3 linked regions of the Struthio camelus genome follow. The protein of the gene in region 1 interacts with the protein of each later gene in a biochemical or structural test. Links are inferred from orthologs where the notes say so. Each region holds a gene or a part of one and is shown in the gene's direction. Other genes may lie near its edges.

Region 1 (11,135 bases):
TCAGGTAAGGAACTTTGTTTAAGCCACATTTAATACCAGTGTGATTATATCATCAATAAAGACTTTCTCTGCTGACAAACCAAACCACTAGTGTAGGCCCTGCATCAGCTGTGGATTGCCTGAACAGGTTATGTTTCAGCAGTGTGCCTTCACTCCTCATCCCCACAGAGAGCAAGAGAAACTGATTGACCTAGTCAAGGGGCAAGGCTTGCGCACACAGTTTTGCAACATGCACACCATGCCGATTACTCCTCGTACAGGCTATGGCATGCAAAGCACTTTGCAAAGAGAGGAGGAGGAGTGATCTGAGGAGGTCACTTCAGATTTATATTGCTCTTCTCAGTCAAATGACCACATGCTGCTTTTTCTGTAGGACTCCTGCCTTATCAATGGCTTGATTCTGCCAGGTGTGGAGCATCACCGTGGGGGACCGAGTGCTTTCACTCTCCCTGCCATCAGTGGCCGTGGAGAGCCCTCGGCATCCATCAGGAACGTTCAGGATCTTTCAGAAATGCTGAGCACCTTCCAGCATTGGAGCTAGGATAAACAACACAAAATGCTTTGCCTTTGGCCCAGGCTATGCTTTTAAAGGACATAAGGAGGTTCTTTATGCTGGACTATGAGCCTGCTCACGCTTTGACTGAAGTGAGTACTATTTTAGTTTTGTATGTTGATGCAGAGGGGAGCAGGACTAGGCCTGCTATGAGAGCAATTGATTTTCATCAGCTTGTGGCTGGTGAACAGCAAACAAGACAGGTTGCATGCTCCGCAGCGTCACTAGCAGATTCAGTTAAAAGCCCAGCACCATCATCTTTTCACACTTTCCTCCATCCACCTTCATCAAACAGCTTCTCTTCATTAAAGCAGTGCCCCTGCTTCTGTGCTTGCTTTAGATGTGTTATGACACTGCTGTGAAGTACAGAATTCCCTAAAGCCTAAGAGAGAAAAAGATAAATGAGACTTCCTAAGCAATCACTACAGGCACAGAGAAAGGAAGACTAGAATGCTGATTTCAGCAAATATCCATGCTTCTATAACACTCGCTATCAGACTACCTCACAAGCACATTATATAAAGAAACATAGCAAGAATAGACATGAAGACGACATACAGAACGAACTGAGCAACCATCAACCTTTCTCCTCTCCCCCAACAGGGGGTGACATTGAATTTGGCCACAGTGCCTGCCATTATGGCTTAACATAGTTTGAAATAGTGCATGAACAATCACTGAGTCTTATCTCTGATAAAATTCAGTGTTTGGGTTTTTTTTTAAATAATGTTCCCGTTGTTTGACTTTATCTGAAGGGATTATGCTTAGAGAGCACATATAGATAAAAAGATATGCTAATAACAGTTGACTGGATACAAACAGCAGAGAGCCAGCAGTGTAGCCTACAATGAGCTCTAGACTTAAATGGTTACTAATATGACTGAAAATTGTACTTTGGTCATTAAAAAACACAGATAGCAGACCACTGATATGTCCTTGCACTAGTTCTCTGAATGGTTTACCTTCATATGGTTGGGATATATTTGTTAATGTGGCTCAATGAATGGTGAGAATGGTGGGAGAAGGGAAAGAAAGAGAGTTTTACCTTATATTCCAGTAGCTGGGGTGAGAGGGGAAGAAATGGCAATGTAAGCGTCAATCTGATGAAGAAGCACACGTTATATCCTGGTTTTATGGGACAGGGTTGTTGACATTTTTGCAACAAATAAAGAAGAAAAATCATATAAAATCATCATCTCTGAGTTCAGTCATTCTTATACAGTTTGGCTGGTGTAGTTATCTTCCTTATCTTCCTGTAAAACTTGCAGATTCTGAAAGCTAGAAGAGCTCAAAGAGAGATGTTTAGTTTTGAGTCCAGTAAAGTTTGTAGTTCTTGCTCTTTGACAGTTCCTATGGTCTCTGCTTGTAGATAGACTACCCACTTTCAAAAGTTTTGGAAGGACTCACCATGTAACACTTACTACACCTACCACCTACTGCAAAGGCTGAAGACTTAAATCTGCTTGTAGATCCTAGAGATGTCTCCAAAGTTCAGAATTACTGATTTCAACATGAACTGACTTCCAGAGATACTTGAAAGTACAAAACCTCATGAAAGATAAAAGAATAAAAGAAATGCAAGGTTTTGGAATAAATTTCCTACTGAATATGATTTTCAAAAAAAAAAAAAACAGTGCTAGCATTTCTAGAAAGTTAAAAACTCTCATTTTTCAAACTTACAGTCAAGAAACACTTTGTCTCACTAACTTCCACCATTAAGAAACACAAATGAATACTGTGGCAGAAGTCTAGATCTGAAAAATATCAGAGAAAAAGAAGACATTGTAGTAGGAAAATTGGGCTTGTCACTATCTTCATATGGCACCACAGGTGTAACCTTGTAATGTGCAATAAATATTAGATGAACAGTTTTATTTGAAAAGCATTTAGGTTATGGAATAAAATGACATGCATCAAAGTTATGGCATTGCCTTTTGTATTGCATAACGTATTGCATAAGAGAAAATAGCTGTTTCACATTAATACTTTGTCACATGGGCAGTCATGAATGCCAACAGTGAATGAAATTTCACTGCAGAAAGCAAAACAGAAAAAAAGTTTCTGATTCAGTCGACTTCAAAATCACACTCATTCAGAGTTATTTTTTAAACTATTACTGTTCCAAGCAAGATGACTCTCAATAAAAGAGGCTTAAGAGAAGGCGGATATTTTTACAGTGATGTCAAGTGACAGCCCTTTGGATTTAATCAAAAGATCATTTAAGTCTCTGCCTGTAATTTCTCAAGTATAGTCAAACTCCTTATTTCTGTGGATTTCCTTACGCAGCAACAGGAGAAAGAAATATTTTTAATTGGCTGAGGAACTCTGCCACTGAAACTATTTTAATTACTTGTTTCTAAGCACAGCATACATATAGAATTTACTTTAATGCTTTATTAAATCTTGCAGCAATACTGAAAATTTCCATTTAGCCTAAGCACAGTTTTACAGATTCAAAGAAATCAAACTGAAGGGAAAGTGAACCCACACTCTTTATTATGTTCTTTTTTTAGAATGACAAAATTAAAACAGCACCCACATAAAACGTAATTACCAGTATGATTCCACTTTATTTTTCAGAGCCAAAGAAGACAACATCCATCATTCCCACCTCCAGGTCAGATGCTAAGTTTTTTTCTGCAGAGATGATTGCTATTTCTGTCTCTGCCCAGAAGAGGTGCTGGTGAGAAGAGCCGGGTGTTAGGGACCTCATGCTTAAAACGTTGCGCTCAGGTGTCTAACTTTATCGAATTTCAAGGGCACCAAGGAATGTGCTGGATCCGACACTGAGGTGGGGCTTTTTTACATAGTTACCACAATTTTTAGCAGGAATCTGCCTCGGGCCCCCTGCGGCTACGCACTGCAGAGCTTCCGCTCTGTTTTACAAAGATTTTGCTTCATTAACTAGGGGAAAATATATTTAAGAACAATAAGTGAAATTCACTTGAGTAAGAGAGGGCCTGCCCACGAGGTCTCATTTAAACCACGCGTTTAGACCACAGGGAGGCGGTTCCCAAACTGCAGCCCATGTCCCTTTTGCAGTAGATCATATGGCACATGGCTGGGCACAGACCTGGGAGCTGCCTGCCAGTGATTACTGATGCTGCAAGCAGAATTCACCTAAGTGTGTAGGCTTACACCACAAGGATTGATTTATCACTGTGTTATTTAGGTACATGCTCGTGTAGTTAAAAATGGCATCAAGCTGGAGTAAAGTTTGCTGTTTATCTCCATGTTTGCTATTTACACCATCCAGAAGTTTTGCATAAATGCAACAGGCAGTGGAGGAATGCAGACCTGTGCTTTAATGTAGCTCCAGAAGGCAACAACAGCAGTGAAGGTAGAGTGGCACAGACCAGGCCTAGGGGAGGTAACGGGACCTTGGTTGCCAGCCCTTGCTGCAGCTCAGCTACTGTGCCCTACTACTCTTACTAGTATAAAGCTAGCGGGAGTACATCTGCTGCTACTACAGATGAATCTCCATTCTGTTGTTCAGGGAGATGCACAAAAACTTGTAGCCAAGTGTTAAATGAATCTCAACCCCGCTTGCTATTTAAGATGTTGATGGTCTATTGCTGGTCTACTGGCAGGGCAGTGGGGATGTGACGGATTGAATTATGAGTTGCTCAGTTCTGATCCTGTCACTCTTTGCAGCTAATCAAATTACTCCATTTAGCTCAGCACTGTTTTAAAGAGTGTCTGCTCCTTTAAGCCAGTGCAGTTTAAGTGGCGGACATAGCCTATACCAACACAAATTAACTTTTGCAGTGAAGGCAAGCTCTAGAAGGCTTGAGCAGTGCAGCAGTTTTTGTGTAAGAGCTGTACAATGAAGTGCACGTCACCTCTTTTGTGAAGACGGTATCATCATTTTGTTTGTTGTTACAAAGAGGTAGATAGATGTACAGAAAACAATGATGTTTTAATTGCTGTGTGGTATTAAACTTAGTGTATAAGGAATATGAGAGTGTGAGAATTGCTTGGGTTGGTATTGTGTGGCTGAGGGTTGTGGACCTCTCTAAGAGCCGTTTCTGTTCTACTGTGCAGAATGAGTATTCATTATGTTCATTACCTCATATCAGTAATGCAGTGCACAACTTCCTCTAAACGGCTAGTTTAAAAGTAACTTTTAAAAAAGTATTTGAAATGCCAGTGCATCTGTTAGGAACAGATTATTCACACGGGGAAATTTCCAAGTTTTTTTCCTCACATAATTTTTGAATTGCAGTCACCTAAAAGGCACGGTACCAAACCATTTACCCCTCCTTCAGTATCTTCCCACTGACTTCAAAACACTGCACTTGTTAAGATGGAAAGTGCTTGGTTTTGATATATTAATACAAAAGAGGAACACGATATAAATAAACTAGATGACTATTGTGTACCAGTGGTTTGCTAACCTGAAAGTTCCTGATTTGTGTCAGTGTTCACGTGGGCTCTTACTGCCCTTCTGACGGTTGAACATCCTTTATTCAACTACAGGAACCCAAGTCATGACTCAAATTATGACAGGATAATGATCATTTGGGGGGCAAAGTCTGCAGATGGTGTTTCTTTTAAATAATTGAGAGCGCACATTCACACGAGTTACTTGCATTTTAGATTGCTTGGCCAAATAATACATGTTCTGATGACCTAAACTGAGACCAAAAAAACCCTATTCACTCTAACCTGCTTCTACAAAACACATGCACACAGTTATCTCTGCCCACAATTTTAAAGAAGCCAAACGAGGAGGCTGATTGAAAACACAAAGCCAATTATTTCCTAACACACTTAGTACACTTTTAACATAGGTTACATGGTACACCTTGCTGTTAGCCTTTCCTGTTCCTGCTCTTTGCTTTGCATTTCTCACATTTATTCACGCTCGGCCCATCAGCTATACTTGCAAGGTTTTCAAGCACAGTTTGCTGGTTGAAATGCGAAAGGAGAATGCTTGTTCATGTTGCAGAGGCCTGCCTGCTTCTCAGGACTACGACTATTTTGTGGCATCCGAAGACCCCGGTCTGCGTCCCTGCAGACTGAAGAGCGCCAGGGCTAACCCCTGAACAGAAAACCCTGTGGACTGGAGGAGCTACAGGCAACGGGAATATATTTATTGCCGTTTTAGCCTCCTTTAGCCGTGCCGCGCCCAGGCCCCCGGCTCAGCCCGCGGCACGGGCGGAGGGCAGGGGTCTGCGCACCCTCTGGCCGGCCCCATTTTGAAAGAGCGAGAGCCAGGGGCAGCTCCCACAAGGCTTCGCCTCGCTCCACCGCAGCGCATCATCCCTCCCCCCCAGCCCCGCAGCCGTAGGCACTACTGGGTGCGGTGAGGGGCTCCCTCCCCTCGCCCCGGGCCGCTGCCCCCCTCGCCCTCGCCTGGCCCGCTGCGGCCCTGCCCTGCTCGAGGGCACGGCGAGGCGCCAGCCCACCGGCGGGAACTACAGCTCCCATGAGGCGCCGCGCCCCGCGCGGGGCACGACGGGAGCTGCCAGCTCTCCGAGGCGGCGAAAGGAAAAAGAAGGAGCGGGGGGGGGCGGGGAGGGGGTGAAGCGGGCGCCACCTTTCGTAGCGCGGGCGGCCGCGCATGCGCGGAGCGGGCGCGGAAGGGGGCGTGCCCGGCGGGGCGCGCTCGGCCCCTCGCCCTCCTTCCCTCCCTCCCTCTGTGTCGGTTTCGGGCTCCCGTCGCCATTTAGCGCGGAGACGTGCCCGGGCCGGCCGCGGCGGCGGCTCCCGCTCCTCTCTACCCCCCTCCCCCCCTCCTCCTTCTCCTCCTCCCCGCCGCCGCCTCCCGCCGCGGCGCGGGGCGCCTCCCGGATTCGGCTCACCTGTGGCGGCGGCGGCGGGCGGCCCCCGGTGAGGAGCGGCGCCGAGCCCCGGGCAGCGGGCGGGGGGCAGGAGGAGGGTTTCCGGCTCCGTGCGAGGCGGCGGCGGCGGCTGCTAGAGGCAGCGCAGCGCGGCCCGGCCCGGCCTCGCGCGGGCGGTGGCTGCCTACCGGGAGGCGGAGGCCGCGGCCGCCATGGGCGCCCCTGCGAGGCGGGGCTGAGCCCCCGGGCCCCTTCCCCTGCCCCCCCCCCCAACCCCGGCGGGGGCTGAGGGCGCTGGGCCTGCCCAGGCCTCCCCCCGCCCGGTGCGAGTGACTGAGCGCGGCGGCTTCCTCCGGGGCCTGCGCCCCCGGCCAACCCCCGGGGCCTCGCTCCGTGGCCGTCCCGGTTTCTCTCCCCTTCCTCTCGCCTTGAAGCGGCCGGGCGAGGCGCCGGCTTCTTCCCCCCCAACCCCGGCCGGGGCCCTCCGCCCCCGCCCGGGCTTTTCCCCCCTCTCGGCCGCCCTCCCCGCCGCTCCCGGTGCTCCATGTCGGCCCCGCTGCCCGGCTCGCCGCTGCAGGATGGATGCAGACGCTAAGCGGGGACCCACCCCGCCGGCCCAGCCTCGCCAGCAGCCGCCTCCCCGCTCCGCCGTGAGGAGCCCTTGGGACCCTGCTCTGTTGCAGCCGCGACAGCAGCCGCGGCCGGGCGCGCTCCCCGCTCAGTGACCGGCCTCTTCCCTCGCCTGCCCCCGGCCCCGCCTCGCCCTAGCAGCGCTTCGCCGCGGCGCGATGTCGGGGGGCGCCGCGGAGAGCGGCACCTCGGCCCCTCGCTTCCTGGCGCCGCCGCCGCCGCCGCCCAAAAACGGTTCCAGCTCGGACAGCTCCGTCGGCGACAAGCTGGGAGCCGCCGCCGCTGACCACGGCGGTGCCGGGGCGGGCGGAGCCGGCGGCGGAGCGGGGAGCGGAGGCCGTAGCGAGGAGTACCGGCGCCGCCGCCACACCATGGACAAGGACAGCCGAGGAGCGGCGGCCACCGAGCACCGCTTCTTCCGCCGGAGCGTCATCTGCGACTCCAATGCCACCGCCTTGGAGCTGCCCAGTTTGCAGCCCGCCGCGCCCTCGGCCCCCGTCGCGGGAGGTAGCGCCGCTCCGCTCGTCTCGCCGCCCGAGGGTGCCAGCCGGACCTGCGGCACCGCTGTCAGCGCCGCCCAGGCCCCCTCGCTGCTCCTGCTGCTGCAGCAGCCGCCGCCGGCCGCCCCGCTCCCCGTCGAAGGCCAGGCTGCTCAGGAGCCCCCTGCCGCCAAGGACGCCGCCCCGCTGCTGCCCAAAGATGAGGAGGAGGAGGCCGCCGCGCTGCCCCCCACCAGTACTGCTGGCAGCGCGTCAGCTGCCAGCCGGGAATTTGAGGAGCGGAGGACGCAGCAGGAAGACATCGAAGAGCTCGAGACCAAGGCGGTGGGCATCTCCCCGGACGGTCGCTTCCTGAAGTTTGACATCGAGATCGGAAGAGGCTCTTTCAAAACTGTCTATAAAGGACTGGATACAGAGACCACTGTGGAAGTCGCCTGGTGCGAGCTACAGGTAAAAAAAAAATATATATAATAATAACAAATTACCAAGGCACAATCACTCTCCCAGGTGCTAGGCTGCATGCTTGAAGCAGGTAAAATCCATTGATCTGAAGTCAGCTTTATTCAGGCAGGGTGCTGCAGACCTCCTGAGCCGCTCCTTTGGAAGGAAGGTGCAGCCTTTCCTTGGAGTCCATTTGCTTGTTAATTCTTTTAAAGACTCTGCTCTCTGAAGACATTTTTTAGCGTTTTCTCCTCAGGATTTGCACCAAGACTCTTTCTTACAGCATCTTATGTTTTACATCTCCAAAATGTAACTTGGAGGGTTGTACAAGTATTTTTACAAGACTTCAGGGAGGCTAAGTGAAAACGTGCCAGTTGCAATGTAAATGAATGTCAACTTGAGGTAAACTTCATTTTTCAAAAAGTGTTTAAGCAGATTTTTTTTTTTTTAGAAAGATATTTAAATGTGAATTTCACAGACGTTTAATGTATTTGTGGCAGTAGATTGTTGTAGGAGGTATCCTTAGAACATACACAAATTCACTTAGTGTGCCACATTGTTTAGTTTTATAAACTTATTTTTTCATTTGAAGTTCTAGAGTTCTCACTGGATATAGGCATTAGGAGGAGAGTAATTGTCTCCTTTCTGAAGCTGTAAAAAGCTGAAGTTCAACTTTTCGAAATGGTTAGTGGATTAAACTGGAATAAGACGCTACTCTTCCAGTAAGTTTCTAGCCTCAGCAGGGCTAGAGTTTGGTCAAGTCCTAGGCTGCTGGTGGCAGGAACGCCGATAGCGTAACTGAGAGGCAGGTTGCTGTGCAACAAACTTAAAAGAAGTGGGAAGAGCGCAGAGTACCAGTAACAAATGCCTAGCATGCAAGTTGGCTTTCAAAGCCTCAGTGTTAAAAGGATAGTGCTTGCTTTTCAGAGTTGGGTTTCACTGTGATTCTAGGGAGGGGTTCAATAGTACAGGTTTATTATGGGGTGTGTTCACATCCAATTTAGGGTAGACGAGCATTGGATGAAAATCCTAGAAATTTCTGAGGGTGAGCTAAGCAGTTAGTTGCTCACACGTGAATGTTTGCAGTAATATATGAAAACTTTCTTCCCCCACAAAAAGTAATTTTTTTAAACTATTCCTATCACACTGAGATAAATTATTAAGAGATCTCTCAGTTTGTATTCATACTTCATTTTTGATCGTTGCTCAAGCTTCTGGCTAGTATCTTGGTTAGTTATATTATTGCCATTATTCCACGTTTACTGACTGTGAAGGTAAACTTCCAGTTTACTTTATGGCTTAAGCATGCCCCCTTCCTCCATGCTAGCTATATAATGGCTGTGGTCTTCTTCCAGGCATTACTTTTGAATAAAAAAGTGAAACAATCCAGTGTTGGGCTCTGCTTAAGCATGTGCAGTCTGTACTGAGAGGGGGTGAATAATCCACTAAAGTGATATGATTCTTACATTTGAAATTTTAGTCTCTTCAATTACAGAGTTCCTTGACTTTTAACTCCTGAAATCTGTTTTAATCTTTATGCTGTATTTGCTGATCAGAAACTAATGTCAGCTTGGAATCGGTCATTTCCCGCTAACGTTACCTCTGTTGAAATGTCCTAACCATCTTCAGTACCACGTGAACAAATTGTTTAAAGAAGCATTTTAAAGTAACTTAATAAATAAGCATATTCCTAAAGAGCATATTGCTGAGCTTTCAATTGATTAAAAAATTCCATAAGTAGTATTTAATAATGAGATTGCAAAAATCATGAATGAAAATATTTGTAAGGGGGAAACGGTTGATATTTTGCTTGGAGGTTAGCAGTATTGCAGGAGTGCATTGTGGTTTAAATTACTTTGAAGACTGCAGTGTTCCTGCCATAAGGAGACTGCATAAAAATCTCAATTTTGAGACATGAATATAAACTTTATAGCTGTTGAAGTATTTGCTAAAGGAGCTAGACTCCATTTAGTAGGATATTTTAAGATTAAATCCTGTTTTACTGTTTGCCTCGAGTAACAAAAGGAGGAACTTGATAGTAGTTGGTGTGATAGGTACATCTTTGTCTTTCTCTAGGAAACTATAACTGTGGACAGGTTGGTGAAATTCCGTGTACTTGATTTGTATCAAAATACAATCTAGATTCACTAAGACAGACAAACTTAGGTGTCATACTGTTTTTCCAGAATGCCGTGGCTTGAGGATTGGTGAGCCTTCAAAGCACACTTTATTTTCCTGTGAAAATGTGAATGACTTCTGTGCCATATTACACCTACCATAACTAATTCATGCTTACTTTTAATTGTCTTAAAATGCTTGCTTTCTTCAGTAATAGAACAGCTTTTCTAATATGTAGTTCATGCTAGCAAGTATGAGTGTCCTAGGTGTCCCATCTTTCTGGAGTCTTTTATAGTGCAGCTGTAGTACTGCCAGAATAAGGCTGCTCAGCATGGTTTTGCAGCTTAAATTGCTCCTCTCCTATCTTGTTCAAAGCTGATAAAGGTGTATCACAGTTCTTGATTGCAAGACATATAACCAAATGGAAATGAAAAATTCGTACTTTAACAGAATCCTTGGCGGTATGTTCTTCTAAGGCTTTTCTAGCATACCTTACGCGCTTCAGTTTCTTTAAGGTCTGTGCTATTTGGAAGGAAATAAGAGGCTAGCTTCTTTTAGTTCAGTGAAACTGCAGCGTTTGAATATCAGAAGACACTCGGTAGTAGGAATACTGTGGATCAAGGCATTCCTGTCCAGCACAGGAGCATCTGTAATGGACTCTGGCCGAATGACTTTTTAACGATGGATAATATAACTATACCTAATTCTTATGTACATGCTTCTTGGAGACAAAGGTTAAATCAAGAAGTTTGGGTGCCTAAGTCCTGCTTATCAAATGCAATTTGGCTTTCCAAGTTGCTGAAGATACTCTGGAGAATATTGCTCCATATCCTTAAGAAGGCTCTTGAACTGCGCTTTAATGGCCCTTATGCTTGGTGTACTGCATTGTGGAGCAAACGGAAGGAGAGTGAGTTGAAATTCGATGTGTGATTCGATGGCATTCTTAATACCTCTCTAAGGGAGGTCCTGGACAATGCTCTAATTTTTCTTTGTTATTTGAGGAAGATGAGAGGACTCGATTGGCAGGAATTGAGTATTTCAAGGTTGCTGATAGATATGCAACCCGAATCCTGAGGAAGGCAAGGCTGATGGACTGTCCTGGTTTAA
Region 2 (10,756 bases), on another chromosome or scaffold:
ATCTGCACAAATTATGCTGCAGTCAATTTTTCTCTATTAAATCAGTTTCTGATTCTCTGTGACAGCTTCCCCTGCCACAGGATTTCACACTTCAGCCGTTTGTTTCCGAGGTGCCACGCTGTTTTTTTGTGGTGCTGGTGATTCATCTAACCCGCAGATATGTTGCTCCTGTCTTCCCAGTTCCCTTTTGCCACTTCTCTCCTTAAAAGATTTGTATGACTCCAAGTGAGGGCTAAAGAAAGGACTCTTGGTGAGGCTCCCTCTCAGCCTCTCTATTCCCTGGAGAGGTTTGGGCACCTTCCCACTTCCTGGGACATCCGGATCAACTCCCAAATTCGTGGCGAGCCAAATAGACCTCAGCAGCAGCCAGCAAATGCAAAAAGGCCTTGGATTTTGATCTGACTTGATGCTTCTTGTGGCTCCTCTCTGGCTCCTTGTCAGCCCATGGGGCTTCTCCTGGGCTGGTCCCTGCAGCTCCCTCTCCTGCTGCTGCCCTGGGACAGCCTCTCTAAGAAGAAAACACAGCTTGAGCCTGTATTTGAGAGAGTGCTGAATCTTTCCATCCCTCCGGTGCAAAATGCCGAAGCTAGGAGCTTGGTGGCATCCATTAATTCTCCTTCTGCCTGCAGAAAAATTTCTCATAGTTAGCTTGGTCCCATCTTTTTAAAACATTCGTGCACTCTTGGAGGGCTTTCCTAAAAAAACATTTCTTGAAAACTCTGTATATAAAGACAGTGGTCTCCTCCCACTGTCCTTCCGGTTCTAGGTTTTCCTTGACTTCAGACACACAGAAAGGATCCTATTTTTAGTAGTCAGTAGTCAATGACACAGGAATTCATGAGCAGGGAGGAAAGGATGTGAACTATCCAAATAGTTTTTTTTTTTTTTTCATGAGGCCTCTTTACATTTCTGTCTCCATAGTAATAAGCTATGAGTCACTGTTACACAGACCTATTAGACAATTATTGTAAACCCATGTCATTAGAACCTGCTAATGGGAACCGCTAACCTTGCTTGGCCTCAGCTTAGCTGGGTGCAAAGCGATATTGGCCATTAATGTAGATAAGAACAATATTCCCTCACACATCTTATTTCCAGATGGCAAAAAGTAAATGAACTTATGTTTAATTCTATCTTCTTATTTCTATTTCTTTTTCTCCTTGCATTTTAAGTGAATTCATCTTCCTTCATTGCCCTGTTACAGAACATGTTTTATTTTATTTCTCCAAAGCATTTACCAGCTGTAAAGCGGACAGATCTGGTCAGAGCGCTCCCAGGCTGGCGGACTACCCACACAATATCAACAGGGAGCACCGGTGTCTCCTCCCAGAGCTGTTTTCAGGACTGACCAAAAGACCTGCCACGACCGGCCCTGAAAAGGAGATTTAAGTACCCAGGGACGCTCAGGACTTGTCTGCTGCAGCGAGCGGCAAGGAGGGGATCTTCTCTGGCACCGTTATAGCATCTAATGTCCGGACTTCTGTCTCTACTATTTTTTTTAAGAGTTTTATTGAATATTAACATGTTTGAAGCACTCTTAAATATAGTCATGCAAAGTGTTACATAACAGACCAAGCATCAGTCTTTGGCCTCTCTTCATAAACGACAAAGCAGTGACAGCCCAGGTGAACACACTGGTGCATTAGGGCCTGGATGTTTGCATCAGATTTCTTTTGCACTTTCAAAGCAGAGCAGAAAAACTCTGAAACACATTATCAATCCCCCCTGACTTGCTCGGCTGTCCAGAAAATGTTTTATGATAGAGATTTACCATTCACAGAAGAGGCCAGAGGGAAAACCCTTCTGTCCGGAGAAGCTGTTCCAAAGAGATAACTAGATTCTCACAGCTGACAGAGGTGTGGACATGTGAAATGTCCTTTATTAGCTTCTTTGAGGACAAAGCAGTATGAAGAAAGTATTATTGTATTCCAGAGCAGAGCAAGAACTGATTATTAAATGTAGTTCCAGTACATGGTAATCAAGATCTTGTTCTAATTAACTATTTCGTAAACCTAACATCAATTTTATACTAGATTTCAAGGAGGCAGCAAAGCTGTGATCTGTTACTGACAGCGTTAATTGGCTTTCAATTTATACACTAAAAAGCATAAACTTAGAATAAAAGAGAAAGAAGTACGACCTTGTCTTGGTCATAAGCGCTTTACTTGTTTCCTAATGCTTAAAATCTGGGGCATAATTTTCAGCGGAGAAAGTAGGAGAATAGTGTAGCGTTTCTGCTAGCTGAGAGGCAGTGATGATGGGATAAGAAATGTGTTTGCAGAGTGAAAGCTGGTTTCAGTAAACAGACTGTGAGAACCAGAATTCACCTGTTAGAACCGGGCCTTCAGCTACTTGACTTCAAAGTGACCTCAAAGGAGAATTTAAAATGACTTAGCACGCTACCCGTGAATGACAGGGTGGAGATACGTGGTAGTACACAGGATCATTTATAGAAACCTGCCGACGTGGTTGACACTGGCATTTGGCTTGTGGTTTGAAAACGTTCCACCAAACTGATTATTAAAAACTTGCTCCGATCAGAGGATTTTAAATCACTGCTCCTTACTTCACTGCACGGTCCTTGCCTCATTTCTCAAAAACCAAAGCAAAAATGGCATGAGAAATCCCCGGAGATAAATTGCATGCTTGTATTTGTTGGCTACAGACCAAAGAGCCTTGCCCTTTGTTAAATAATCAGATACCGTTTGATGGACTAAGTTCCCTTCAATAAACCTGCAAGTATTTCCATCAAGAACGAATAGCAGGCAAATTTTGTAGTGAAACAAGGTCGAGCGTTCTCCTTGCCAGAGCACGCTTGCACTATTATGAATGTAATAAGACAGGCATTGTTAGGCTCCCTCTTGCTTTGGTAAACCACGACCGTACCAAGCAGTTCAATAAGCACATTAACTGCTACTGTTTGTGAGAATCATGGTAGCTAATGCGCAGTCCCTTACGAGCAGCAGTTTATGATGCTTTAAAAAGCCTTTGACTAGAAACGCGGCAGCAAATTCCATAGCCTAAAACACAACTGAACTGTGACACTACATGCTTCTGCATGACTGTTCCGAAAGAGCAACTTCCAGGCTAACTGTACCAAAAAGAAAACTATATTTGAGAGTAAGTTGAAATCTGAAATGCCTCAATAGGCAAACTGGAGTTATTAAGGCTAGTTTTCTACAGTCCCGGTGTAAATAAAGTTTACTTATGATCACACTGATGATGAGGATATCTTACCATTGAGGACCCTTTACAGGTACTAAAGCTATTCACTTTGCACAGAATATTAGAGTCACCATCCCACCCATTAAATATCGGTTTTATGATAGCCACTATTATATGAGCCAAAAAAAAAAAAGAAAAGCAAAGCTGGTCTGTGCCATTAAGTTTCATTGAAATAGCATGTAATTGTCCTCTCAAAGGCAGGAAACAGAATCACAGAATCACAGAATCGTTTAGGTTGGAAGGGACCTCTGGAGATCATCTAGTCCAACCTCCCTGCTCAAGCAGGGTCCTCTAGAGCATATGCCTTATGAGGATGAAAGCCTTTTGTGTGCACACAGGTGTGCACAGACCTGTGAGCTAGCCATCTCCAAAGGCTCAGAGCCAGCTGGGAGGAAACACCAGCCCCAGGGACATTGATGAAACACAGCGGTCAGGGTAAAGCCTTTATGCAGCAGCAGAAGCAATGGGAGGAGGGGATCGCCTGCTCCAATCATTGAGATATTAAATTTTAAGTCAAGAAGTATAGCAAACCCAGATCTGAGACCTTTTCTCAGACTGTAGCTTTCCTACCAGAAAGAAGTCTAGAGTTCTTCCACTTCTCACTCTTCCCTAATGCCTGGTAGAGAGCGGAGGTGGATACGCAGGCAACTGCTTTTCCACTTCAGACTTCTACTAAAATGTCTTGTTATTACAACAAACCACTTGCCGCGGCAGCACCACTTTACAGGCTGTTTTATAAATAGAGACATTTCCTCTACCCTGAAAAGCTTACAACCTACATGAGACAGACAAAATAAAGCGAATCAGGAAAAGTAGGATGAGCAGAATATTAACGATGAAACAGGAGAAGGTGCTGCTTGAAGATCTGAAGTGGGCTAAGTGTTAAGAACTTCACAGAGGCCAGCTCCCTTTTTTCATCCTTCTCCAGACTCCCATCGAAACAATTTGCTGGATGAATGCAACAGCAACGTCTGACTTTTGAGGGATTCAACATCGTGAGTTCATTTAAAACATAAACGCAATATCTGTGGGATCCAGATTCTATGCGAAAGAGAGCTCTTTGGTTTTAAAATATGGAAATGGAGAGTTCATCGCAGAGGTGAAAAGTTAAAATACATCATTCATTTGTGTGTGCTTATGTGGCCACTGGTGGTCTAGTCAATGCACATTTAAAATTTTCCTATTTATCAAAGTCTACTCTATTCCTCAAAAGATAAGGCTTATAGTGGACATAATCCTGTCCCATCGATCTAAAGCAAAAGGAGTTTTAGCGTTGTCTTCAGGGGGAGTATTTTCTCCCCAAAACAAGAGAATTTAAAACACGGCCTAGACTTTAAAAATAGAGTGGTAAAATGAAGCCTACGCATCACTGTGGCTATAAAGGTTTTAAGTAGGTGCTTTGAGATTTTCAGGATCAGGGCCTGTGTCTTCTTCAGTTGTTGACGCCTGGCTCAGATCCATTTTTAACACGCGGTCAGCTATCGGAAATATTCACCTGAGTGGGGCAAAACCTGCTTTGAATTGCTACAAAAAACTACTTTTATACGGCTAAAAGATCACAGAGATGGTTCCGAGCAATAATTAAGGCATATTTAGCAAGTATTAGAGATCGCTTGGCAGAGGAACGTGTAACAGAGGCAAGCAGGAAAACCGAACAGCTTTTAACTCGGAAGCTTTGTCTGACGGACAGAGACCGTCTTTGTTCGGTGTTTGGACAACAGCGAGCAAGATGCGGCTCTGGGTCATTTCCTTTGGTAGGACAACGAAGAGGAGAAGGAAGGAGTTATTGTCCTGCGTTAGGTAGCGCAAGTGAAAATACTGGAGTCACGCCCCGCGTTTGGCAGGGTCCCGTGGCCCTCTATAAAGCTGGGTTCATCAGACGTGTCTCAGGAATTTGCCCTAATAAGCTAAAAATACGTAAAGCCGATGTTCTTTGCCACACAGAAGCGTCTGCTATCAAGCTACAGGAAGAACAGCGCCTGAAAAACACAACTTGACACAGAAATTCCACATTTTGCTTGATTGTCCTGATCGTTTCTGTTGTGTGTGGTGACAGCAAGAACACGCTGTGTTATGGCTATTAGGACTATTTAAAACCTCCAGACACCTATGAAACCAATGTAAACAGCAGCCTATGTGAGTTCGTGGTAAAAATGACCCTCCCATTCCTCGTTCTTTTAATCTTTTCTTTAGGGTCTCTACCCCCACCTCGCCAGCTCCAGCAACGGACCTGCGCGCAGCCCAAGTGCAGTCTAAACACCTTGGCGTTTGGTGGCCGGCACGTTTCAGAACTGCTCGTTTTTGGAGGTGGATGGGGCAAAACGGGCCTGCTGATCCCTTCACACCCATCCTAACCCCTGGATGCTATTTTTAAAGTGTGGCAAGTGGAGGCCTGAGGCACCCGGGGCCGAGCTCTACCCCTGCTCGCCGCCCTGCCTCCTTCGTGGCACTTGGCCTCAGAAACCGTCGCCAGCCCCAGGCCCAGCGCCCCTTCCCCCCTCCCTCTCCCCAGCCCCCCACGGGAGCCTCTCGGGAGGAGGGCGACGGGACCCCGGAGAAGGACTGCGGGGGATCGACAGCCTTTTCACCAATAGGAGCTCGGCTTTCATAGCCAGCAGCCAATCAGCGTCGGGGGCGGGTCTATAAGCGAGCAGTCCTTCCCGCCTCTCGCCTGAGGGAGGGGAAGATGCGGGCGGCCGCCATCTTGTGTGTGGCATCCCCGCCCTTCCCACTCTCTCCTCCCTGGCGGCCCTACTCTCCCCCCCACCTCCGCCGTCCCGCGACGGCGGCGGAGGGCCGAGGACAGCGGCGGCGGCGGCCCCCTTTCTCGGCCGAATAAACAAAAAGACAGCGGGCGGCCGGCCGGCGGGGCGCCGCGCTCAAGATGGCGCCGGGCGGCGCCCTGCTGGCGCTGGAGCGCGCGCGGGTGGGTGACGTCAGCGGGACTCTGGGCATGGGCAGGTGGAGGGAGCAGGCAAAGTTTGGCCGGCGCTAGCGGGAGGCGGGCGGGCGGCGGCGGCGGCCGGGGCTGCGGGCGCCGCTGCCGGCAGTGCTCGGGGCGGGGGCGGCGGTTGCGCCTCGGCTCGGCTGTGTGCTCCGCTCCGCTCCGCTGCGCTGCGTTGCTGGCGGCGCGCGCGGGCCGCCGCGCCGCTGCCATGGCCGAGGACCCCAGCGCCCTGCCCTGGTCCATCAACAAGGATGACTACGAGCTGCAGGAGGTGATCGGTGAGTGCGGGGGGGGGGGGGTCCTGCCCCCCCCCCCCATCTGAGGGGTGTGTGTGTAACCGTTTGGGGGGGGGGTGTCCCCCCCCCCGCCAGGAGGACTTTGTTTGGGGGGGGGGTCTGTGTAGGGAGGGGGTGGTGTTCCCCCCCGTGGAGGGTGTGGAGGGGGGGGTCTGCTCCCCAAATGGGGGGGGGCAGAGGAGCAGATGCCCCCCGCCCTCAATGATGGCTGTATGTAGGGTCTATTCCCCCCCCCCCGAAACCCAGGGAAGGGGTGGTGGGGATCTGCTCCCTCCCCCCCAAGGGGGGGGGGGCTATGTTTGGATTTGGAGGGGGGGCCCCGTTGCTGTGTTTTTGTGACCCTCTGGGTGCGTGGGGGGGTGTCTGCTGCCCCTCGAGGGGTGTGGGGGGGTTTGGTGTCCCCCCCCCCGATACCTCACGGCGGGGGGGGCTCCCCTGTCCCTTGGGGGGGGGGGGGACACCCTCCAGGGCAAGGGCTGCTTGGGGTTTGGGGGGGGGAGGATCAGTGCACCCTCGTGCTGGGTGGCAGAGGATGGGACGGGGTCTGTGCTCTGGGGGCTCCTTTACTGACCCGTCGCTTACTGACCCGGCTGAATCCACTGTGCTGGGGTGGGGGGTGAGGTCGCCTGCGGTGCAAACCCCAAAATTTATACGGGCTCCCTCCCTCCAGAGCAGCCGGGCGCCTCCGCTGCAGCACCTGGCGCTTTGGGTGCTCTGTTGCTTTGGCGTCTTCAGGGGACGGAGGACTTTGTAGTGCCACCAAAGCAGTGGCACTTTTTTTTCTCCTCTTCCCTGGGTTTTTACTATTGTCTGAATCTTCATTCATTGTCCTCTCGGCTTGAGGCCTGGCCCTTGCTCTCTAGTAAATGATTTTTCTTTCTTTTTTTTTTTTTTTTTAAAAACATTTTGACTTTAAACTGACACAGTTACCAAAGGCCTCCTGCTGTCCTGATTTATTGGCCGTCTCAACCGTTCGGCTGGGGTGTGTGTTTGAGGGATATATTGCTCTAGGTTGCGCGTGTGACACGTCTGAGGTGGTGCCACAGGCAATGCTAAGGTCAGTGCCTCTTGTGTCACTCTCTGGAGGCAGGAAACAAAGTGGGAGGTGGCAGGGCAGGCTCCTGGCCAGGAGGCTTTTAGGAAGGAGGTTAATTTTCGGTTTAATCTTTGTAAAGTGCTTTTACTTGAAATTTATAAATGACATAGCTCTATCGTGCCCAGGCCTTGCATCTCTGCCCAACAGGGAGACTTAGTTTCTGTTAACAAGGGTGGGAGAGTTTGGGGAAAATGCTGTTTTAAGAGATTAAATTCTTGGCATTGTTTGAAAGTCGGAAGGAACTAAAGCTGTTGGGGGGGGGAAAAATCCTTGTGGCAGTTCTGGAAATCCCTGTTGCTCCACTGGATCAGGCTTTATCCTCTCCCTTCGCCTAGTGGGAGCAGCAGCGCTTTAGAAAGGAGGCAAACCATCAGTAAAGACCGGGAAGACGTAATCTCGGAGATCAGCCCGTTAAACCTCCTCGGAGATCATCCCGTTAAACCTCCTCTGGAAGACGCACCCTGGTGAGGCTGGTGTCGAGCCTCCTCCAGGAGCAGCAGATAAAGGTGCAGGGGCAAAGAGGGGGGAAGAACAGGCCACTGGGCTCCCAGTCCCCGCAGGAAAGGGAGCTGCGGGAGTTGCACCCGTGCTCGCAGGAAGCGCTTCTCCCGTGGGAGTCTCCGAAGGGGTGCTCTCGCATAACACAAAGCCAGGTTTTGAGTATCCAGCGAAAGGACAAGCTGCCTCTTTGTAGCTGGGGAACGGAGTGGGATGGGAACAAAAGGGAATGCAAATGCGCTCCTGCTCTTAGGAGGACTTGCTGCTAGAGACGCACGTCCTATAGTCCAACAGTATTAGAAGGAGGACGTAGATACGTTGTGGTCTCACTGGAGAAAAATCAGGGATAGGATATTTCAGTTCTTTCATGTCTTTCCCCTACTCCTCTGTAAACTTTGAGTTTCTGGTTGTCATCTGCTCATTGAAAGATTGTGTTGGCATTCTGGAATGTAATGGAGAGTATGCTGAAATGTGTATATTACAAACATATGGTTCCTTTTTTTTTTTTTTTTCAATTTCCCATCCCCCCCATCTTACTCATTTTCAACACTGGTGTGCCTGCCAGCGCCCTGGATGTATATGTGACGCAAATTTTCTAGCGCATTTATCATTTGTGGGACAAAATGTCACTGTGTTAACTGAGCTGGACTGTGTTAACTGAGCTGGACTGCTCCTGCTTCGTGTCTCTTGTAAACCTCAAGGTTTTTCTGAGCTCCTTTGACTTCTGCAGAACTGTAAAAGTTCTTCAGTAGTGAACGAAGAAGGGATCTGGTGTGGAAAGGGGTGAACCTTGCAGTAGTGCTTTTAAAGGATTTAACTTGTTTTCTGATGAAAATGTTCTTTAAATTTTGAGTCCAGGAGGTTACCAACTCAGTTATTTTTCACATCAGAATAAAGGAAATCAATGTCTGACTACATGATCTAATTCCTTATTTGTGCTATTTTTGCCAGAAGATATTCATGTGTGGCTTTCATATGACTTGGATGGCTCTGTACTATTTCAGTGCAAGAACTGAAAGAGCAAGCATTCTAGCTGCTAAAAAAAAAAAAATAAATAAATAATTTCTCCTGTAAAACTGCCTTCCTGGTTCTAGCTAATACTAAAAAGAGATTACTCAGCCCTGGACATGATTCATGCCATTATAAAGGTATAGATTAATGCTTATGTTTATTATGCTTGGTTAGTGTGAGTGGCTAAGTGCTGAGTAGCCTCCTTAGGCTTAAATAACTTACATTACAGTGAATTAAGAGGTCTTGCTTAGGATCAGAACCTGACTTTCATTTGAGGGGGGGGAAACAAAAAAAAAAAAAAAGGAAGTGTGGGCTGAGGGAGGAGGAAGCAAGTTACAATGCATTTCTGTGGCATGCACCCCCAGAGTAGTGTTAGCCTTTGCAGGTGAATACCATCTGTGGAGACATCTAAATTTTCTTTTAAAAAGAAAAATGTAGTCTATCCTCATGCTTGTGAAGGTGGTCTTCCAAGTGTGAGTTGCATATAAATCATTGCAGTCGTCTTTTTGAAGCCTGCAAAAAACCCATTATACCTCATGCTGCTTGTGCTGCTCTCGTGCTCGCAGAGCCAGGTTCCTTTGGATCTCGCAGTTCCCGCTGGACATGCTGACAGCAGTAGTGAAGTCCATTGGAACTGGATCATTTCTCCTTTTGCTACTTTTTTTTTTTTTCCTCTTTTTTGAAAGATAAGGGCTGTACTGGCTGTGGCCATTTGATTTGGGAACATCCTCTTTGCTATTAACAGTGTGTGCCAGAAACAGAAGATAAATTAGCAGTGGGAGTTCTCCCTTGCTCTACTCCTATGCCCTTTTCCCTCTGACAGATTCCTTCAGAGCAGTGAAGGGAACACAGGCTGGGGAGAACAGATGTGTTGGGAGTTTCTTCTCCCCTCAGAAATCAAGCTTAAATTGAAAATTGAAGTGCACATTTACTGAATGGTTAGGGTTTTTTTTAATGGCTGATTAGCTTTTGAGTGGGGCTTTGCCCATGGACAGCATGATCTTTTGGAGTTTGTTATTTAGGTTTCTAGTTGTGTTTTTTCCAAGCTGAACGTGCGAGCGTGTATGCCTGTATAGGAGAAATTCTTCTTCACCGATATGTAGGAACTTCTTGGAAATTAATTTTTGCACTTCCCCAAATCTTGTCCAGATATCTATGGTCACCCGCCCTGTGCTTGAATACATCTCTCACGTACTGAAAACGTGCAGCCAGCTAGAAAGAGTAGCCTATAAATACTCGTCAGGTATAGTCAAAGTCCTTTTAAGTTAAGATTAGGGTGGAATAGGAGACACTGGTCCAATGATAACTTTTTAGGTTTCTCTTCTGAAGTGTGTTGGGTTTTTCTTTTTCCTCGCAAGAGTCTTATGTGCTAGTTGCAGCCAGTTTCACGTGCCTGACTATTTTAAACCCATTCAAGAAAAATGTTGCACTCGATAAAATATAAAAACTTGAAAACTAAATTGAATGTGTAGACTTTGGTCTTCATGCCATATGTTTTGTTTTAGCATTTCCTCTTCCCCCTCTCCCCCTTTACTGCAGCTAGTGGGGAAAAAAAAAAAGATTCCTACTGCATGTCCCCAGTTTTTAAGCTGGTTAATTCATTTAAAGACTCACTTCATGTGCTGTTCTCAAACTTTTTTCACTTAAAGTTGGTAGAAAAACTTTTTTTGTTGCTTTAGATTA
Region 3 (10,089 bases), on another chromosome or scaffold:
CTGGATCTCACGTTGTCATGTTAGACGCGTGTCTGTGGAACGTGGGTTGTTTTTTTTTTTTTTGGAGAGATATGCACACGCATGCGTATGCATATAGATGTATGCATATATACGCGTCTGTGTGTATGAGACTGGTTTTAGGGCGTGAAGGATCGCAGGTTCTCTGCCCCTCTCTAGAAGTGAGGAACGCAGTGAAACTGCAAGGGATTGCCCAAACTTTCTTATGTTTCTAGTTTTAGAGAAGAGACAGGAGGCGGCGAACTGGTCACAGGGAGTAGCGATGTGGGATTTGGCTCTTAGGAAGAAAAGTTCACGCTATTCACCTGCTTCCCTCTTTCAAAGTGCGTGTTATGTAGGACTGCACAAAAGCTGCCTGGCTCGGGAAAGTCCTGAGCCTGGGTTTAAAAAGGACTGTGTCCCGTCAAGAGCTTCGCCCGGCTGGGTGGCTGCTCTTGGTGCTCCTTTATGTACTTTTGTCTAGCGTTTCGGCTGGAATATGTGGCCTCAAAACGTGCGCTTAAGGCCAGCAGATTTCCCCCTGGATTTTAATGGCATTGCTTCTCCCTTTTGTAGATCACAAGGAACACGTTTTAATTTCGGGATTGCTGCTTGGATCACCTCTGTCTTGGCCTCCAAGCCTGCCAAAACTTAAATATCCAGATAATTCACCCGTCACATCTGCTCCGTGGGGTCACGTGCCTGTGTTGTAACGGGCAGGCACAGAAGCAGTTGCAGAAGGGGACGGGCTGGAGGTTAACCTGAAACAGTCACATGTGGCAAGAAATTATGTCAGGATCAACTCCGTTACCCCTGCTGATAGGGACGTTTATTTCCTGGAGAGTTAACATAACACTGTATGGTTGGGTGCGTGCACTCCGATTCTCAATTTGCAAGGTGCGTTTGAGTTTGGAAAGGGAAAAAAAAAAAAAAAAAAAGGAATGTGAATTTTTGGTTAAAGAACTAAAAAAAACTTGTAATTTTAAATGTGCCTTTAAATGGTGCTAATCTCTTCATACTATTTGTCTGAGAAATACAATACCTGCCTTAGAAGGTAAATGACGTTCTTGTCGTATTTGCGTCGTTTTGTGTTGGTTCCAGCATTGTCAGAGAACTCTCTTCTTCTCAGTAATTCCCGGCGCCTGCGTTTCTCCTGAGATCTCCTCTGAGATCAGTGTTCCTTTTGGGGTCTGTCATCTGCCAATTACATATTCCACTAAACTGATGTCTCAGTGTAGATTCAGGCACTGAAAAAAACCCTGTAACTAAATTGCAAATAAATATTATTATGAAAACAAAAAACCTTTCTATTATGTTCCCTGTAATACATTTTAATGATAATATTTCTCTGAAATCCTCTCAAATCCATCTGTCTGTTTAGATTCCTTCAATCACAGTTTTTAATATCTTTCTATTGACCCAAAGAAAATTCTAGAAGTTGGGATTTTATAAATATGCCATCACACTGACATCCTTTTCTTATTTTGTTTTGTCTGACTCAAGGGATGGAACCGTCGGGCATAAAGTCTTTATGGTTTTAGTTACTGATTCTGCATGAAAAAGTTGCTCCAGTTAAGGTAAAGCTTACTTTTTTTTTTCCCCCGCATTCTGTCAAGACTAAATTAATATTTTGGTCTTCACTTGTCTTAGCAGAAGCATTTAAGCTTTGAAGACTAGGAACAGCTATTGGGTATCTTTTAGGTTTTTAGAGCAGAACTGTGTCAAACCTGTGAGAAAGTTAAGAGTAAGACTACAGCGATGTTTGGCAGTGCATCCCAAAAGAAGTGCTGTAGGCTTAGGACGTTCATAGTTAACATGTCACTCCACTTTTCAGTTAACAGAAAGCTATGAAAGGCCAGTTCAGGACGCCCAAGTAACCTTGGCTCTGTCCTTTCTGAAACATCAGTACCAAAGACCAAAAAGATAACTACTGCACGCTGTTTGTCTTTCTCTGGGTGCTGTGTGCCATAAGAGGCTGCCAGGTTTCCAAACCGTTTGGACCCCAGGAAGCTGGAGCCATTTGGAAAGCAGCACGTGCATTTACTGATTTCTCTAAGCCGAGCACTTTTTGCTGACCTCCGCTGAGAAGGATGCGCGCGAGGCTCTCCGCCTCAGACGGCAAAAGCCTCTTGGTGCTTGGAGAGGATGAACAACCCACCCCACTTCCAGTGTCAGGGGCTGCGTTCCTGCCTGAAGGCTCCTGGCCGGGCGTTGCAGTGGCTGCTCCCTTCCCGTAGCTCCAGACACTGGTGGTGGGGCTGTCCGACCCCATGGAGGTGCACAGGTCCACGAGTCCCGTGGTGCGCGGGAGGCCAACCCTCCGCCAGCACCAGGGGCTCCACGATGTGTACGAGGCAATCTGGACCGCAGACCTCTGCGTGCAGCTGCAGCAGAGTCCTGAGGTGTCCTAGCAGTCCCAGCCTTGGTGGCCCTGTCCTGGCTTGCCTCCTCCTGGAGCGATCGGGATTGCCTGGCAGTGCCTGGGTCAGCCCTGGGGTGGTGCAACGCAGCTCCGCCGCGAGAGCGTGGTCGAGCTGTGGGAGAGACGCTGGTGGTGTCCATGTGAAGGTCAGGAGCTGAGCCCTGAGGACGTTCCCTCAGAAGTGTGAGCAGAAGCCCGTCCTGTCCACCGCTGAAGGAAGGCTCATTTGAAAGCTGCTGTTTCTTTAGGGTGAACTTCTGGCTCCAGTGAAGCCAGTGGTGGAATTGATTGTTGGCAGAGTCACCGTTTTCGTTCCTGGGGTTTACCAGCTCTCTGCACAGTAATAATTTTCTGAGGGGACGGTTTAGCTCAGAGGAAGGCTTTTATTCTTCCTCATAATCTACAAAGACATCTGTAATTACTGCTGGTAACTAAGGCAACCCAACTTTATAGTTAATGCATGCATGCAGCAGAGCTACGGGTTATGGGTTTTTAAAATACCTTCTTGCTGGTTGGTATGCAGCCTGAGCTCAGACAGGCCCTGCTACGTGCCTGCAGGTAGCTTGGGCCAAGGCCTACTAGTGTGTCTGTCTTGTCTTGGAGAGGAGGACAGTGGTGTAAAGGGGCTTCTGATTAGCTTCCCTGATGCCATTTGGGACTTTGAGATCAGGTCCATTTGTTTTATGTGGGGGGAGTGCTGAAATGAGGACCTCGCAGGAGGTGGTGGTGGTGGTGGTGGGGCTGGCGCTCTGCCTCTTTGCTTATCTTGGGAGGATCCTGCTGTGCCCCTAACAAGGTTATTAATCCAGCCCGGGGGAACTAAATCGTTGTCAGCGCGTGGCCTCGGATGGCCCAGGAATAGAACAGATTGCTCTTGGCACCCGGGTGGCAAGTCCTGCTGGTGCAGGAGGACGCCGCTGCTCGAATGTAAAGGTGCTCCAGGGAAAGTACATCTGATTACGGAGGAGAGGGACCCTTGCGTGTCCTGGTGTTCCCAGCCAGTACCTTTGATTAGAGAGCTTTGTTCTTTTTCTTTGTTCTGCTAATAAAATAGTGGAGTAATTCCTAAGTAGAACAATTTTTAGTGTTGTAGGAGAATACTCAGAAAAGTGTTATGTAATGCATTATTTTCTTCCTCTCGGGGTAGTTTTTGCTTTGTGGCAGATTGCATTTACTTGGATAGTTTAGGCCCTTGCCTTTTTATGGTGGAAATGTGTCAGTGGTATCAGAGAGCATGTGTATGGTAGTGTGAAATCACTGTTCCAGAGAAAGGCATCCCCACTGTATTAATGGTACAAAAATCTATGGAAGCTGAGTCATTTTGAAGCATGAGTTAAAGGCACTTAGCTGTTAAATTTTTTAACATGTTTTTTATGTGAGTCATTTGAAAAAACTTTAAATAGCATATCCTGATTTTTTTGAATCAAATTGTATACCAGACTATCTGCAGAACTTTTTTATGGTGAGTCTTTAGGTATTTGGTAAAGTCTGAAATCCACCTGTGCTAGCAAGTGTGAGAATGTCTTTTAGGACAGTTTTTAAAAGGTTGCTCTTCACGCTCTTTAGGAGGAATTGGTCAATCGTTTTTTAAAAATTCCAGAGCAAGGTTTTTGCTTTTAAAGCGTACAGACCAATATTGGTGGCGTTGCAGCTTTATGGAGGCTGGTCGATCTGACATTTGCTTTTGGGGTTCAGTGAAACTTGCCGCGTCCTTTGTCCTGCATCTCTTGCCGGCTGGAAAGTTTGACAATACGAATCTTTGCTCTCTGGCGCCGAAATGCTACTAAATAAATCTCAGTAGGGTGTAGTAGTCTTTCTTATTAAAGAAACCTCATGATTTTTGTTTGCATCGGTTGATTTTTGGATGGGGTAAGGTCAATCTTTGAACGAGAGGGAAAGCAGCGTGTTGCGGAGGCCCAGCTGCTCCCACCCCGGAGCCCTGCGTGCAGGTGTCTGCTGCCTCCCTCTTTCACTTTTTTTTTTCTTTTTTTTTCTTTTCTCTTGGCTTCCTGTAGGTGTTTCAGCTTTGGAGACCGAAAGTTCAGTGAAGTTACTCGCGCTTTCAGAGCCTCGTTTCTCGCTGCTGGGCTCTGGCCCGCCGCGAGGGAAGCTTTGGCAGTTTAAAAAGCAAGGCTTTACGCTGCAGTTTTGAACGCTGCGGTCGAATTTCACTTGGCCGAAGATTTCAACGCAGGCTTTTGATAGATACATCACTGAGGCTTAACCGAATTTGGCAGCGTCCCCAGCGAGCAGTTGGCCGCTCCGTGCGCGTGAAGGCTGCTAGCGGCGCGGGCAGGAGCAGGGAGGGTTCAGCTTGCCCTGGGCACAGAAAAACCGGTTGTTTCGTTGCCTGTTTTTTCACCCGTGCTAACTCAGTGCCTGCCGCCGCGTGCAACTTGGCCGCTGTGCAGCGGGTTGCTTCTGGAAGAAGGACGAGCCCATCCAGGGAGGACGAGCGCGAGGTGGCGGAGGCGAGGAGCTCGGCGTGGTCCGGGGCCGGGCAGCGCGGGGAGGGTGATCTGCCCTTCGCTTGGGGCTGCGCTTAGACGTGGACCACCTTGCTCGACCTGTCTTGTTTGCTTTTGGCTGCTGGAAGGTCGGAGGAATGGGCTCTGGATTTCAGCAATGAGTAATCTCGCTGTAAAGTGCTGCATTTTTTTTTTCTTTTTTTTTTTTCCACAGATGGAAACCTTTAGCTCCGAGTGATTTCACACGCTTTCAGATCACAGAGGTAGATATATCGACCTTATGTCGATTGTGGATAAAGAGCCAGGGCTCAGCACAAAGCAATGAGGACGCGTCTGTGCCTTAGGCACCTGTTGGCCTGGTTAAACACAGCACGTAATGGGGCGCATCTGATTTTACTTTGCCTATATACTGTGCAGTTCTGATAGGAAATTCTGGTTTAATAATTCTTTCTACAGGTTTCAGTGACATTAAGTAGACCTATTTCTGGAGTGGAAATGAGAAGGGGCTTCCGTAACGCTGATGCTCTGGGAGCTGTGAAAGCCCTTTTTGGATTTTCCTCTGTGGAAGGAGATACAGGTCATATATGTCTGCCTGCGTTTTTCAGGTGGGAATTTGAAAACTAAACTTGTGTTTCTCTGTGTGGATGTTAAGGTATTCCTGGTGCTCTCGTAATTCCCAGTGCTGAAGTCTGTTCCTCTTCAGTGAGGCAATTATGTTTTGGCTTGGATTTCCGCTTATTCTGCTTTCCTGGACCGGAGCCTGTAGGGCTGGGCTTTGTCCTCGCGTGTTTGGTGCTTTTTTCTGTTCCTGATGGAAACGTGGGCTGGTTGGCTTTCGGCGTCCCTGCGGAGGTAGCTGCCTTCTCTGATGCTCTGCGTATGGCCCACCTGGGCTGCCTGACAGACATACAAATAACTCCGTGCGTGCACTGCCCTCCGTGGCAGTTTTACGGTTCATTTTTTTTAGTGCCATTAAATCAAACTTTCTATTCCTTTTTTTTTTCTTTTTTTTTCTTTTTCTAATCCCTATTTTTAGCGTTAAGCAGAGTTCCCGATCCTCTGAGGCAGCCGAAGACGAAAAGGAGCAGCGCACGGTGACGGTCAACCCCTCTCACATGAGAAAGGCATTCAAGGTCATGAACGAGTTACGGAGGTACGCTTTCGACCGACTGGGCATCCCCTCCGGTCTGATGAGAACCGAAGGGCTTCTGGGGGACTTGCAAGAAATCTGTGCCATCTCTGTCACGGCTAGCGGTTGCGTGGAGGTTGTTAATAAACAAGTAGGAAGGGACAGTTGAAACGTGGCCGTTCCTTGCTGGGTTGCAGCCTCGCACCTGCCTAACTTTCCGTCAGAAACCACACAGCTGTGTCTCAGAAGCACTATCTGAGCAATATGCTCTGTTTATAAATGATAATTCATCTAGTGCTTTCCATTACTTACAGCAAGTTCTGCTGTAAACTGTGTTCTTAACTGAGCTAATGGTCTGAAAACCAGTAACAATATTACAGACATTAAGACACCACGTAATTACAGACGAAGGATTATTAATGTACCGTTCCTGTTCTCGTTGACTAGTGGTGTCACTCACTCTGGGCTTTGCCCTCTTAAGTAGGAGGGGGAGGAAAAAAAGCAACCTAGGAGGAGGTCATACCCCTATTTGCTAATTTTAAATCCTAATATTGGTTAAAGGAGAACACTGTGGTGTCTTTGCACAACTGTGTGGGTAAAGGGAGGAGGAAGGTTGAAAAAAAATCTCAGTGAAGGCATTCTTTAAGACACCCTTGCCCTTGCATCAGCTCTGTGGTGGCCGTGGTTAAATCTGAGTTGTTTCTTGGCTGTTATCGTCCCCTGAGTCAGAGAGAATTTTAGTGAGCCTTTTTCCAGCTAGTTCATTTGAGCCCTTAACCATTCAAACAGAGACTTGAAAACCCAATTAAAAAAAAATTTCCTATATTCCTAACACTGCACATAAGCATACGCGCTGCCTTGCTATGCAGATGTTATGGTGAAAGCAGATAACACTTCACTCTTCCTGCATGCTCTAAGTACTCGAGAGATGCTGTAATAGCCGCCTCTCTTCTGTGGATTAAGTACTTTCCTAACATACACGTTCTCCAGCACAGAGAAGGATTAGAAACGTCTCCGTAGATGTTTGACAGTGATTCTCAGCTGATGCATAAGGAGGAGGAAAATGGAAATAGCCTTCCTTTGTAACAAATACGTGAAGCTGAATATGTTTTCTTCTTGGCATCCCTCTAGTCCTCTCTTTGTACTGAGAGCAAAAGATCTGAAAATAGAGGTTTGTGCAGCTATATTCAGAAATCTATTGTGCTACTATTATTCCTTTGTTAATTGAAGCGTAGTGGGAATAGCTGGAGACTGACAATGTGTCTGTATTTAGCTAGATCTTGTGCAATACTGAAATGTTAAAATGTTTAAGGTTGAAGCTGCCCTTAAGCACCTGTTTACTGTTGGATTTTTTTTTTTTTAACTTTCCCCTTGGGTGCGCTCCTTTTTCTCAGCTCCTGCTGCTGTTCTGGAATATGGAGTTCCCATGTCTACATGTATTGTGCATTGAACTTGCGGTCAGTTAAGCTGTCAACAATCAGTGTTAATAGCTGCCTTGAATAATAGTGCCTCAAATTGAATGCCTTTAGAAGGTCTAGAGAAATCTTGCTAAACCTTTAACCTATTTGCTGTAGGTTTTTCACTTGAAATTTTTAGCTTCCAAATAAAAATCAGATTAATTTTCATGAGAGATACCTTAGATGAATATAGATAAGCTGAAGGGAAGGAGAAGACCCTCACTGAGTGACCATTAAAAAATTTCTCTACTTACCATCATCCATTCTAAACTGGGGAAGAGTAGAGAACAGACCATCTTTTCCTGCTTACTCTCTCCCTATGTTCAAACTGTAACCCTCTGTTTCACAAACAGTGTTTGTTTATTTCAGTGCATGGAGGAGAGGAGGGAGACGTACCTAGTCCCTTAGAAGCTCTGTGTGTAGTTGATGTGCAGTTTTCTAAAGAAAAAAAAAATGCAGCATTGTGATAAACAGTTCTGAAGAGAAGGCAACATCTAGATTTACTGTCTCTGATCTGTTTTCAGGCTTGACATTTGAAAAGAACACCCCTTTTTTTGCATTTGTATGCTCAGAGATCTTAAACCAACTTACTGGGAGGCTGAGCACTTCTAGCTGTCTGCATCTCAGCAGTCCTGTGCAAACATTAACTAATGAATCCTCAAAAGACATACACGGAACTGGTAGGAAAGGTCACGGATTAATGAAGTGACTTTGCCAAAGCTGTACAATGAGTCAGTGAGGGATCTCAAAGTGTTAGTTTCTGTCTGGAACCCCTTGGTTTATCTCATTGACTCTTAATCCCAGCCTAATTCATGCATTTAACTTAAGTTTTATCAGGACCACTGATAAACTCTAGTGATTGACTGTTCCTTGTTGGGAGAACCATGGGAAGCCCTCTGTGCTAGGCAGGACAGAACTGATGTTTGGGAGCTCGTGGGCTGTAGGGCCAAGCGTTTCTGTACCAAGCCTGACCTAGGAAGAGAGTGCAGAGACAACTTTCTTTTTCTGCTCCACCTTTCTGAACGCTGTACAAAGTCATATTCCCTTGCTCTGTCTTGTTTTAGAGACCTATCAGGACTTGCCTCGAGGTAGCACCCAAACGCTTAAGCTCTTTTGTACCTTCTCTAAACCCTATTCTTTTGAGAGATGGAGGCAGTCCCTTTACCCATCTGTTCTTTGGGCAGCACGTATGTCTAGTTCGGCTTTACCAGATTTTTTTCTTTTGAAGCAGACCAGCTACAGCTCCACAGCAAGCAGGGCTGCAGCCCTGGAAAGATGCAGGATTTGCTCTGTAGGCCAACACTGACAGGAGCTGGTAGTTGAAGGCTAAAAGGAGCTTCCACTGAGGTTTGGCAGAAGCTTCAGTATCTAATTATGGCTCAGGTACCTTGTCTGAAGTGGTAGGATTTTGGATTACTTTTTCAGGGTGTACTGACATAGCTTTTTGCATGACCAGGAGTTCTGAAATGATGTTTGTCTTTTCTGGTGTTTTTCCAGCAAGCGGCTCCTCTGTGATGTGGTGATTGTGGCTGAAACTGTGGAGATGGAAGCCCACCGTGTGGTCCTTGCGGCCTGCAGCCCTTATTTTTGTGCCATGTTTACAGGTACTCTTCCCTACAGCAATCACTGCACTGTGGCTGGATGGGCCGTTGCAGCTTCTGAGACTTGTAACTGTGTCTCTGGAAGGACCTGCAGCAAAGGAAGTAGGCATGGGCCTCTATAGACAGGATTTCCTTGGAAGAGAAGAAACACGGTTAGGTCTGCAGTTTGTTACACTTGATGGATGATCTTGGTCATCTTTTGGCTAATTTCCTTGAGGTAGGGTCAGTGAGGCAGGGTCCTTGGGTATGAGGGAGTCTGTAGCATATGGGTCACAGGGTGACTACTATGAGGTTTGGCTCACTGGTTCTTTTTTATTTTTTCTCTCCTTAAAAAAAATTCGAACTCATGAAAACACATGTTGTTAATATCAAGCACGTGTGCCATGCCCTAAAAGATCACAGTGCACATCAAAGAAGGTCCTGGCACAGAAGCTGCAGTTTCAAGGCCTAGCCCTGCAGATGCTTATTCACAGTCACGGATGTTTAATCTCCAATGGCACTTTTTGCTACTGCCCGAAATAACACTGTTGTTCTCTTGGTCCTGCTGTGTATTATTAGCTCTGCAGGGTCCGCTGTTGCAGCCCTCTCTGTAGTAATGGCAGATGCAACCCCAGCGTGGAAGGGAAAAAGAGGACAAAATTCGTGCTCTGATTGTGTGATCCGTAATGGGGGTGCTCTTCAGAGGCTGTGCCCGGAGGGGGCAGCCAAAAGAGCACTGCCAGTACCACGACAGGAGAACGACCAGACCAACATGCTGAGTTTCTCTAGTGAAGTTTCTGTCCGCTTGGGAGCTCCTTAGCTTCCTTGCCTTTTCCTTGCCTTGCCAGGACTGGAACTAACTTAACCAAATACAAAGGGAACGATTACACGTTCCAGGGAACGGTTGTTACGGTCCCTTGGCTTCAGCCTGACGCGCTGCTGTGCATAAGTGAGGTTTTGCTCTGATTTTGTGTTCCTTGGTCTGTGGCCTAGGCAAGGAGGAAGCCCGTTTCAGAGACACCCAGGAGCTATGTGG

Evidence for each region.
Region 2: of the proteins of WNK1 (region 1) and OXSR1, one has a biochemical effect on the other in vitro, tested with the Homo sapiens proteins (2 studies listed by BioGRID and IntAct, with this or other methods). The link is inferred for Struthio camelus from reciprocal best matches to the Homo sapiens genes WNK1 and OXSR1.
Region 3: of the proteins of WNK1 (region 1) and KLHL3, one has a biochemical effect on the other in vitro, tested with the Homo sapiens proteins (2 studies listed by BioGRID). The link is inferred for Struthio camelus from reciprocal best matches to the Homo sapiens genes WNK1 and KLHL3.

The regions. Positions count from the first base shown.
Region 1 is NC_090942.1:69,114,799-69,125,933, forward strand, and holds the start of WNK1 (serine/threonine-protein kinase WNK1), read left to right. Parts: upstream 1-7,000; 5' UTR 7,001-7,127; coding exon 7,128-7,919; intron 7,920-11,135. UniProt on the Homo sapiens protein: Serine/threonine-protein kinase component of the WNK1-SPAK/OSR1 kinase cascade, which acts as a key regulator of blood pressure and regulatory volume increase by promoting ion influx.
Region 2 is NC_090943.1:6,328,766-6,339,521, forward strand, and holds the start of OXSR1 (serine/threonine-protein kinase OSR1), read left to right. Parts: upstream 1-6,238; 5' UTR 6,239-6,380; coding exon 6,381-6,450; intron 6,451-10,756. UniProt on the Homo sapiens protein: Effector serine/threonine-protein kinase component of the WNK-SPAK/OSR1 kinase cascade, which is involved in various processes, such as ion transport, response to hypertonic stress and blood pressure.
Region 3 is NC_090954.1:5,720,763-5,730,851, reverse strand, and holds the start of KLHL3 (kelch-like protein 3), read left to right. Parts: upstream 1-5,349; 5' UTR 5,350-5,382; coding exon 5,383-5,492; intron 5,493-5,923; coding exon 5,924-6,040; intron 6,041-8,970; coding exon 8,971-9,077; intron 9,078-10,089. UniProt on the Homo sapiens protein: Substrate-specific adapter of a BCR (BTB-CUL3-RBX1) E3 ubiquitin ligase complex that acts as a regulator of ion transport in the distal nephron.